3 linked regions of the Saccharomyces cerevisiae S288C genome follow. The gene in region 1 interacts genetically with each later gene. Each region holds a gene or a part of one and is shown in the gene's direction. Other genes may lie near its edges. The genes, in order: SPT3, HOS2 and SDS3.

Evidence for each region.
Region 2: mutations in SPT3 (region 1) and HOS2 together harm fitness more than expected from each alone (negative genetic interaction), as found in Saccharomyces cerevisiae (5 studies listed by BioGRID, with this or other methods).
Region 3: mutations in SPT3 (region 1) and SDS3 together harm fitness more than expected from each alone (negative genetic interaction), as found in Saccharomyces cerevisiae (5 studies listed by BioGRID, with this or other methods).

Annotation. Positions count from the first base shown.
Region 1 is NC_001136.10:1,256,537-1,260,209, forward strand, and holds SPT3 (transcriptional regulator SPT3), read left to right. Parts: upstream 1-2,159; coding exon 2,160-3,173; downstream 3,174-3,673. Other genes in the region: E1 ubiquitin-activating protein UBA2, read right to left, coding at 1-311; IAT4 (Iat4p), read right to left, coding at 822-1,520; SHE9 (She9p), read left to right, coding at 3,365-3,673. UniProt on the Saccharomyces cerevisiae protein: Component of the transcription coactivator SAGA complex. SAGA acts as a general cofactor required for essentially all RNA polymerase II transcription. At the promoters, SAGA is required for transcription pre-initiation complex (PIC) recruitment.
Region 2 is NC_001139.9:139,938-143,696, reverse strand, and holds HOS2 (histone deacetylase HOS2), read left to right. Parts: upstream 1-1,970; coding exon 1,971-3,329; downstream 3,330-3,759. Other genes in the region: IME4 (mRNA (N6-adenosine)-methyltransferase), read right to left, coding at 1-1,451; YGL193C (uncharacterized protein), read left to right, coding at 1,470-1,781; YGL194C-A (uncharacterized protein), read left to right, coding at 3,736-3,759.
Region 3 is NC_001141.2:201,722-205,356, reverse strand, and holds SDS3 (Sds3p), read left to right. Parts: upstream 1-2,097; coding exon 2,098-3,081; downstream 3,082-3,635. Other genes in the region: phosphopantothenate--cysteine ligase CAB2, read left to right, coding at 704-1,801; KTR7 (putative mannosyltransferase), read left to right, coding at 3,314-3,635. UniProt on the Saccharomyces cerevisiae protein: Component of the RPD3C(L) histone deacetylase complex (HDAC) responsible for the deacetylation of lysine residues on the N-terminal part of the core histones (H2A, H2B, H3 and H4).

The DNA of each region.
Region 1 (3,673 bases):
GTAGAAATGTCCATAACATTTCCTTGGTAAGGCACTAACTTAGAGTTATTGAAATGCTGTACTGCTTTTACGGCTGTGGTAGACTTCGGTTGTTTAATATCTTTTTGTCTAAAAAGAAATTGCCTGTTTAAGTTCGAAAGGTCAATGGTGTCCAAATCGACAATATGTATTTCACCAAATTCCATCAAGATTATATCCTTTAACAATTCAGACCCTATGCCCCCAGCACCGACCAGAAGACATCTTGAGGACCGTAATTTCTTGTAACTATCTTCACCGATGATTGTTACCAAACTTGTTTCCCTTGGCATTTTCTTTTCTTGTTTGGCGTAGCGCTCCTGATCTTGTGTGTCTGTTGAAGTACGCAATTAGTGGATTGCTCATCCAAATATCTTGATTTAGCGTAAACATACTTCGCCTTTGAAAAACTTTAACTTGAAAATAGAGTATAAAAAAAAATTGCACAAAAAATGCGGAAGCCGGGAATCGAACCCGGGCCCCATGCTTGGGAAGCATGAATTCTAACCACTGAACCACTTTCGCTAAGAAGATCTAGCTTACATAGGTTTTGTGGTAATATAAATTCTTGAGACCGTAACCGCGCAAAGAAATACCTAAAATAGTAATTGCTAACTACATCTAAAAACAGACTGAAGCTCACTAGATATGAGACTTTTCTCACATCTTCAAAATAAAGAAAACAATAGCAGGCGAAATTTTTTTGAACCTGGTTATACAGTGCATGCTCCAAAATGTCGTCTTTAAACACTACTTTTTATTCTAAATAATTACTTGAAGGGGGGAAAGAAAAAGCTCAAAAACTACTCTTTTAAGACTTTATTACCGTCCTTATGATATATCATTAAATAGGCTGTGAACCCTTCACCATTCGGATCGCAATTGCCGTTAGAGTCGACCTCACACTCACCGTATTTGAACGTCATGTAATTTCTAAATCCAAAATATTCGTACACAGATTTAGCATGCTCGGCAATAGCTTCAAGGACAATGGCGCAATTTTCTTCGTCTGCTCTCCTTTTGTACTCTTCAAAAATAGTCCTTACAGAACCTCTGATTCCTTTCTCATTTAAGTTCTTACCAATACAGAAAAGATAGTAGTAATTGATGCCATTTGGAATGACTTGCTTTACGCGAGCATTTAAATCGTCAATAAAGTCCTTGTTGAACTTTGCATCATTACTCCTTGCCTTCGGAACGTGAGGTGGAAGACTCCACACTGCAACAGCATCGAAAGTATTAACTTCGGAGATCTCACCATAAGGTGAATCCAGGAATGGCGATATGATATCGGTGGTTATTGTCCTTGTAGGCACCTTCTCAGCTAGAGGAATATTTAAGATTTTCTTGCAGATAAAATGAAACGCTGGCGAGTTACTAAAAGCAATAGACAAAGTCTCTGCTGCTCTTCTGGCATCCGTAGTCTTGTTCAGGGTACAGACCATATGGCCCTTAGCATCGTTGTTTTCTAATGGAGTTGGCAGTTTGTTCTCGAAGGACATGATGTTCGGTTACATGTCTTAGAATTATTTTCTCGAGATTAGTGAGTGACTTGGCATAATATCAGGTACAATAACTGTTATATATACGCCGGCGGCATTTCATTTTTTTCACTTATCTCAGCCCCTGGGACTCTGATGCCGTTCACACCAACGTCTGCTGTGATTTGGAGTGAAATATCTGGATACTAATAGAAATATTACGATAAAAAAGAGTTATCTACAGTTTGCTGCATTATTTTTGCGTTATCGGTCAATCAACTTTAAGAGATCACCGTACATTTCCGGCAGCATTAGCGGGCGTCTCTTAGTTTCTTTGCAATACAGTAGGAACTCCAATTTTTTGTTCGTCTCCTCGCTACATTCAGATTCAACTGCAATCTCGAAAACAAGTTTTTTATGCCGCCAAAATAGGTATACATTGCGTTCAATGCATTCTCATTCATCTCTATCGCAAGAACGTCTTGTTCAAAGCTGCCCTTTCTTGAGGCTTCAAGCGCAGCGCACAGAAAAGAAGAAAATCCGAACCATGTAATATAGATCGGCGGAAACGAAAAGTAAAAAGTAAGGTTGAAGACACTCTGAACCCGGGGAAGAGTGCATACAAGGTACCGTGCCAAAATTCAAGAGATTAGGGCAGGAATGATGGACAAGCATAAGTATCGTGTGGAGATTCAACAGATGATGTTTGTCTCTGGTGAAATTAACGACCCACCCGTAGAAACCACATCACTGATAGAAGATATAGTGAGGGGTCAAGTGATAGAAATTCTTTTACAGTCAAACAAAACGGCGCATCTTAGGGGAAGTAGGAGCATTCTCCCTGAAGACGTCATTTTCTTGATCAGACACGACAAGGCCAAAGTCAATCGTTTGAGAACATATCTGTCATGGAAGGATTTGCGTAAAAACGCCAAGGACCAAGATGCTAGTGCCGGTGTAGCGAGTGGCACTGGAAATCCTGGGGCAGGTGGTGAAGATGATTTGAAAAAAGCAGGTGGTGGCGAGAAAGACGAAAAAGATGGTGGAAACATGATGAAGGTCAAGAAATCCCAAATTAAGCTGCCATGGGAATTGCAGTTTATGTTCAATGAACATCCTTTAGAAAATAATGACGACAATGATGATATGGATGAGGATGAACGAGAAGCTAATATAGTCACTTTGAAAAGGCTGAAAATGGCTGACGATAGAACACGAAACATGACTAAAGAGGAGTACGTGCATTGGTCCGATTGTCGACAGGCAAGTTTTACATTTAGGAAGAATAAAAGGTTCAAGGACTGGTCTGGAATTTCGCAATTAACTGAGGGGAAACCCCATGATGATGTGATTGATATACTGGGGTTTCTAACTTTTGAGATTGTCTGTTCTTTGACGGAAACAGCTCTGAAAATCAAACAAAGAGAACAGGTATTACAGACTCAAAAGGACAAATCCCAGCAATCTAGCCAAGATAATACTAACTTTGAATTTGCATCATCCACATTACATAGAAAGAAAAGATTATTTGATGGACCTGAAAATGTTATAAACCCGCTCAAACCAAGGCATATAGAGGAAGCCTGGAGAGTACTACAAACAATTGACATGAGGCATAGGGCTTTGACCAACTTTAAAGGTGGTAGACTCAGTTCTAAACCAATTATCATGTAAATTTTTGTATAATTTCATCATGGAGGTGCATGGGTTTCCTTCTGGTATGATAAATGTGAGCCAAATGAATTGAAAAATACAAATAAAGATTATGTACGTAGATACGCGTTATAAAGAGGACTATCTGATCATTGGGGTCTTTTTCGTTGTGAAATTGTAACGGGTGAACTCAGTGATTAAAAAATTGCGTGATGTTGAGATACTATGGGGCGACAAGAAACTTACCCTTAGTATTCAGCATTAACAAATTAATGTTGAGGGCGTCATCTTTCACCAGGCCATTTCATTATAGTTCATATTCTCTACAGAACGGTGATACTCCTGATAAAGGCAGCACTAATAAAAATGAAATACGGACACCTAATAACGCTGTTTGGAAAGAAAATATAGAACTTCAATGGCAGCACTTGAAAAAGAAATTAAATGAATTGTATTCTAGGTTTAACTTCCACCGAGATCAATTATCCTTTCAAGTTAACAAGGCCAAAAAATCAATTCAA
Region 2 (3,759 bases), on another chromosome or scaffold:
TTTCTGGCATGGGTGCCTGCCAACCGTTCTGCTATACCATACAGTTCATCAGGCTTTCTACTAGTCTCTCTGGTCATTGATACGATCAAATCGACGTCAATATGTTTGTTGATCCACTTTGGATTACCCTTTAAGCCCACCAATAAATGCTCCTTAGAATGATTTAACCAATGACCCGTACGACCTGTAACAATTGTTCTACCCAGTTGGTTTGTCTTTATCCATGAAACTTCATTTATCACGTTGTAACCCCAGTTATTCAAAGACTCTTTACCCAATTCTATAGCTCTACCCGTCACCCAAAGAAAAATAATACCTTCATCTTGTAGTTCGTGCAAAGGCAAACCTAATAGTTCAATATCGTTGCAAGTACCGTATGGTAGGTTCATATGGATATTCCATGCAGGATCTGCAATAACTACCGAAAACTTTCCAAGAACCCTAAAATCAAATTTCCGCACATCGCAACGGATCCACTGTGCAGGTAAAGCCTTTTTGATACAATGTGCGGAGCAATTGCCCAGAGTATAAAATGGAATGGAAACGTTTGACCGTATTCTTTTATTTTCACTCGCAGTTTCACGATCAGCTCGCTCTTGCAAGCATGACGGAATATATTGCAGGTAATGAATGTATCGACACGTATTTAATTTATGACAGGTATCCAAATAGGAACAATCTCCTAACGAAATATCAGTTTGTGGTTTGATATTAGGGATAAAGTGAATTTTTGATTGAATGCACTCAATTAATCCTGGGTGATTTTCCTGACATGCGGATATTTTGGACCATTGTAAAGAAACGATTTTGTTATTGACAATGTACACCGAGGTGGACAATAGAGATGCATGCGAATAGTCACTACATATCGGGATGTATTCAATGACCTCGGTCGTGTATTTGGCTCTTTCTTTAGCAAGCTGAAAAGATGATGGTTTTTCCCTCAATAAATTTTGTAAGCGATTGCTCAGTTGTTCACGTGGTAACCCCTGGTTGCTGACGTTAACGTCCCAGTTCAGGACTCCAAGCAGTCTACCCAGCAGTTGGTCTTTTTCCGAATCAGCTTCCGGTTTTGTTGTTAAACTCGACACTTTTTCTTCACATGAAGAACTGGACGATTTTAATGTATAGTAGAAGGCATGGAACTTGTTATAGAGAATTTTCAAGGAAAAAACGTCCAGGTAAACAATTTTTTCTGGCCTATCTGCCACTAATAGATTCTGGTCAAATTGAATGGACTGCGGCGTTGCAAATATAATATCCTGAAGATCATTCCAAAACTGTTCAAACTGTAAGACCTCGTCTTTATCGTTTCTCAACTTCTGCATCTCATCATCGTATCCGCCACTGATGTACAGTGAATACACATCTTTGAGCTGTCCAGAAAGCGGTGCTCTTAGGATGTCATCATAATTCTGGATCAGAAAATGTACTAGTTTATCGTTAATCATAGCCTGCTTACAACTTTTATGAATTCAAGTCTGAATGCCAATTCTTATTTTTTTCGAAAACCCCCAATGCTAACTTATATGGTCCGTTTTCTTTACTGTTATCCATCTCCCTTTCCTATAGCTCCAGCGGTTACCGATCTTCCAGAATGCCGGGGAGATCTTTCTCTTTCTTTGTTTATAACAAGTTTCACAAGCACGAAAGAAAGAACAATACTGTACGCCAAAAGCCGCCTAAAGACGCATATTCCCGTCAATTTATGTGACCGGTACCACTATATACCTAAGGCACCTCTATACCAATGTAGAATGCCCTGTTTATACTCTATATAGAGGATTCTCGATGTTCTTTGGGGCATCGTTAAACGTGATATTCCTACTATGTTACTAAATGTTGAACTGAAAGCATCTTGAAACGATTCTAATCAGTTTTAGGTGTGTCGCCAATGTACAGTTATAGAAAAGACGCCAGATTACTCAAGTACGTTAAAATCAGGTATCAAGTGAATAACAACACGCAACATGTCTGGAACATTTAGTTATGATGTGAAAACAAAGGAGAACGAACCATTATTTGAGTTTAATTCTGCTTATTCTCCCAGGGTATCGTATCATTTTAACTCCAAAGTTTCACATTACCATTATGGTGTTAAGCATCCAATGAAGCCGTTTCGGTTAATGCTAACGGATCACCTAGTTTCCTCTTATGGATTGCACAAGATTATGGACCTTTATGAAACAAGAAGCGCTACCAGAGACGAATTACTACAATTTCACTCGGAAGACTACGTGAATTTTCTCTCGAAGGTTTCACCAGAAAATGCAAACAAACTGCCCAGAGGCACACTTGAAAATTTTAACATTGGAGACGACTGTCCTATTTTTCAAAATTTATATGATTATACAACACTATACACTGGTGCGAGCCTTGACGCCACCAGGAAACTAATCAACAATCAATCGGACATAGCGATAAATTGGTCTGGTGGTCTTCATCATGCAAAAAAGAATAGTCCATCTGGGTTTTGCTATGTAAATGATATTGTGCTTTCTATTTTGAACTTATTACGATATCACCCAAGAATCCTTTATATCGATATCGACTTACATCACGGCGATGGTGTCCAGGAGGCATTTTACACCACAGATAGGGTCTTCACGTTGTCTTTTCATAAATATAATGGCGAATTTTTCCCAGGAACTGGTGATCTGACAGAAATTGGTTGCGACAAAGGAAAACATTTCGCATTAAATGTACCCCTAGAAGATGGCATAGATGACGACTCATATATAAACCTTTTCAAGTCAATTGTAGATCCTCTAATAATGACTTTCAAACCAACACTTATTGTCCAACAATGCGGTGCGGATTCCTTAGGTCATGATCGCTTAGGATGCTTCAATTTAAATATAAAGGCACATGGAGAATGCGTAAAATTTGTCAAATCATTTGGTCTACCAATGCTAGTAGTGGGCGGTGGAGGTTATACACCTAGAAATGTATCACGGCTTTGGACCTACGAGACAGGAATTTTAAATGATGTCTTGCTACCAGAAGACATCCCCGAAGATATCCCATTCCGGGACTCATTCGGGCCGGATTATTCACTTTATCCTATGTTAGATGACTTATACGAAAACAAAAACAGTAAAAAACTACTGGAAGACATTAGAATACGATGTCTAGAAAATATCAGATACTTGCAAGGAGCACCAAGTGTCAGAATGGATGCTGAATGCATACCGACACAAGATATAAGTGCCCTGACAGAAGAAGAGGATAAAATCATTCAAGAAATGAATGAAGAAACAGAAGCAGACAGTTCAAATAGGCTAGAAGAAATGGAAAAAGAAAACAGTGGATTGATTGCCTTTTCATAGTTTAAGAGTTTGCTATTCGGTTAATCTCCCGTTTTTTTTTTTTTTTTTTTTTTTATTTTCCTTTTTTTTTTTTTAATGTTTTTAGCATATTATGTAGAGTGTTAAGGCCTTAAAAGTTATTTGCATCATTGTTAAAAATGACATGTATTGTATAAGAGTTCGGCTCTTCGATGCCGTCAGAAACATTTTTGGAAGGTGCACTCCGTATTCGAGACACTTCTGAAACGGACAAGTCACCAAACTACTCTGAAAACAACAAAAAAAAGCCTTTTCTTATAATTTGAAAGCTTCTCCCGCAGCATTATCGATATCGTGAAACTTCCAAAATCTTTCTTAATTAAACCGGACATCAGTGTCTACAACATTAGAGCAAGTCACTCAGTTCATGTAATACATCTGGACAATTATGTCTAATAAAGAGATAACTTGT
Region 3 (3,635 bases), on another chromosome or scaffold:
CTTTGGGTAGTTCAGCTAGGGAAGGTCGGGTTTTGTCTCATGTTGTTCGTTTTGTTATAAGGTTGTTTCATATGTGTTTTATGAACGTTCAGGGTGACGTATTGTCATACTGACATATCTCATTTTGAGATACAACATGTTCCATGATATGGAAAAACGTATACCAGTGCTACAAACCCTGTTAACAATTAAATTCTTATTACTTCTTGCACAAAGATGCTAACACTTTACAGCTTTGAAAGTAACAGGAAGAAGTGATGCTGTGACAATTAACAGGGTATTTTTTTTTTCACTTCTACTTAAATCGGAGTTACAATTTATGATAAAAAAATCAAGAAAAAAACCTGATTATGCTAAGAAAGTAGAGGCGACGATGACCACCTATGGCCTAACCTAACTATGAACAGATGGTAGGCTCTAAATTGCGTGCCTGAAATCTGCGGATTTGATATGTAGGCGATGTTTTGGGTATTTTCCACCAACTTTATTGGCAAGGGAAGAATTCGATGACCCGAATTCGCCAAACGACAAAAACTGGAGGAGTGACCTATTGTTAACGTTTTTTTTTTTTTTTTAAAGGCATTGTCATCAACAGGACATCTGTATAAGAGGCTAAGACAATTACGCACACAACGCTTTTATTAGTTGTCATAAACTGTGTAGATTAGCAGCAGACACTCCTTTTTTTCTTCATACTATAGCAATGCCACCTCTACCCGTGCTCAACAGACCTCAAATTCATACGTCTGTTACTGAAATAAGTCATGCAATTGATCGTACAATCAAGGAAGAGCTCTTTCCCGTTGCCTACACTACTGAAGAAGAGCAATATTTCAAAACTAACCCTAAACCTGCCTATATCGATGAATTGATTAAGGACGCTAAAGAGTTTATTGATTTGCAGTATTCCCTGAAAAGGAACAAAATAGTTCTTATCACCTCTGGTGGTACTACTGTTCCATTGGAAAACAATACAGTACGTTTTATCGATAATTTTTCTGCAGGTACTCGTGGTGCATCGAGTGCTGAACAGTTCTTAGCGAACGGATATAGTGTTATTTTCTTACATAGGGAATTCTCATTAACTCCGTATAATAGGTCCTTCTCCCATAGCATTAATACTTTATTCTTGGACTACATTGATTCTGAAGGTAAAATCAAACCTGAATTTGCTGAGAATGTTTTGAAGAACAAAAAGCTTTATGACAAGTATATGGAGAAAGAGGAGAAACTACTTTTACTACCATTCACCACGGTCAACCAATACTTATGGTCACTGAAAAGTATAGCCAAGCTATTGAATAATAGTGGTTGCTTGTTTTATTTAGCTGCTGCTGTCAGTGATTTTTTTGTTCCATATTCAAGACTACCTCAGCACAAGATTCAATCAGGAGACAACGGTAAGATGGGAGCAAATAATGACACTGAAGGTACAACTAGGACTACGCCTGATGGTAAACTGATTGTGAATCTTGACCCTGTCCCTAAGTTTTTGAGAAGATTAGTGGAATCATGGGCCACTCAAGCGATGATCGTTTCGTTCAAATTAGAAACTGATGAATCCATGCTGCTTTACAAATGTACACAAGCCCTGGATAGATACAACCATCAACTGGTTATCGGAAACCTTTTACAGACAAGAAACAAACAGGTCATTTTCGTATCCCCTGAAAACAGAAAGGGAGATTGGGTACGTTTGGATGAAAAACACCATAGCATTGAAGAGATGATAATCCCAGAAGTCATCGCACGCCATGACAAATGGGTGGCGCATTCGAAAACTAAGCTAGCTACGAAATAAAACATAGCTCTTGTCTGTAATCAAAAAAATTTGCGTCAAAAAAAAAAATTAGATGTATGTAAACCTTTTTATTGAACTGAAAATTTATCTTTTATCAAATCTTTTTCTTCTATGCCTTAATTATGTTTTCAGGTATCTTTTTTCTCATTATTTAATTTAGCTTATGTATTGATCATTTCGCTTGAGATTTCAGGAAGAAAAAACGCAAACAATTTTTCAGCTAAAATGAACCCTTGGAAAAGCTTTAAGAGAACAAGAGAAACTGTAGAGCTCAGTGTGCATTGTCTTCAAGATTGATGGCTATTCAAAAGGTTAGTAACAAGGACTTGTCCCGCAAGGACAAAAGAAGATTTAATATCGAATCTAAAGTTAATAAGATTTATCAAAATTTTTACTCAGAAAGAGATAATCAATATAAAGATAGACTGACAGCATTGCAAACGGATTTAACTTCTCTGCATCAAGGTGATAATGGCCAATATGCCCGCCAAGTACGAGATTTGGAGGAAGAAAGAGATCTAGAGTTAGTCAGGTTGCGCCTGTTTGAAGAGTACCGTGTTTCTCGTTCCGGTATCGAATTTCAAGAAGATATTGAAAAGGCTAAGGCTGAACACGAGAAACTCATTAAATTATGCAAAGAAAGACTGTATTCGTCTATAGAGCAAAAAATAAAGAAATTACAGGAGGAGAGGTTACTAATGGATGTGGCCAATGTGCACTCCTATGCCATGAATTATAGCAGACCGCAATACCAGAAGAACACGAGAAGTCACACAGTAAGTGGTTGGGATTCTTCGTCCAACGAATATGGAAGAGATACAGCAAACGAAAGTGCTACTGACACGGGAGCTGGAAACGATAGAAGAACGCTAAGGAGAAGGAATGCTTCTAAAGACACGAGAGGTAACAACAACAATCAAGATGAATCTGATTTTCAAACTGGTAATGGTTCTGGAAGTAATGGCCATGGTTCTAGACAAGGGTCGCAATTCCCCCATTTCAACAACCTAACCTACAAGTCAGGCATGAACTCTGACTCAGATTTTCTACAAGGTATAAATGAAGGTACTGATCTATATGCATTTTTGTTTGGCGAAAAGAACCCCAAAGACAATGCTAATGGGAATGAAAAGAAAAAAAACCGTGGTGCTCAACGATATTCCACCAAAACAGCTCCACCTTTACAGTCTTTGAAACCAGATGAGGTCACAGAGGATATTTCCTTGATCAGAGAATTAACAGGTCAGCCTCCGGCTCCTTTCAGACTAAGGTCTGACTAATTTATTTTATGCTGCAAACCTTCCACTTTAACTTTGTATTATATTACATTAGATGGTTATATTTCAATGTGAGCTCTTTTTGTTTTTGCTTTCTTTTCTCGGATACAAGTGGAAAACGAAAAAAAAAAATTGGCTAAAATTTACTGTATACATCAGGCTAACAATCTGTGATTATAGGCACAGTTGTACCAAAGAAGGGCTAGAATATACATCATAATTAGATGCAATTAGCATGGCTATAAGATTGAATCCAAAAGTCAGAAGGTTCTTGCTGGATAAGTGTCGACAAAAACGATATGGTTTCCTCTTTTTAGGATGTATCTTCGCCATACTTTACTGTATGGGGACCTGGCCATTTTTCGCAAAAGATATTGTACATGATCCAAATAATTTGCCTTATTCCTTACAGGATTATTCGACTGACAAAGACGAGCCATTTTTCCGGGGCTGCACTGATACAAAGCTGTACTTGCAAAATCCTGCTTACTCCAAAATGAACGCATCTTTCGTTATGCTAACGAGAAACGAAGAAATAGAAGACGTACTGAAAACTA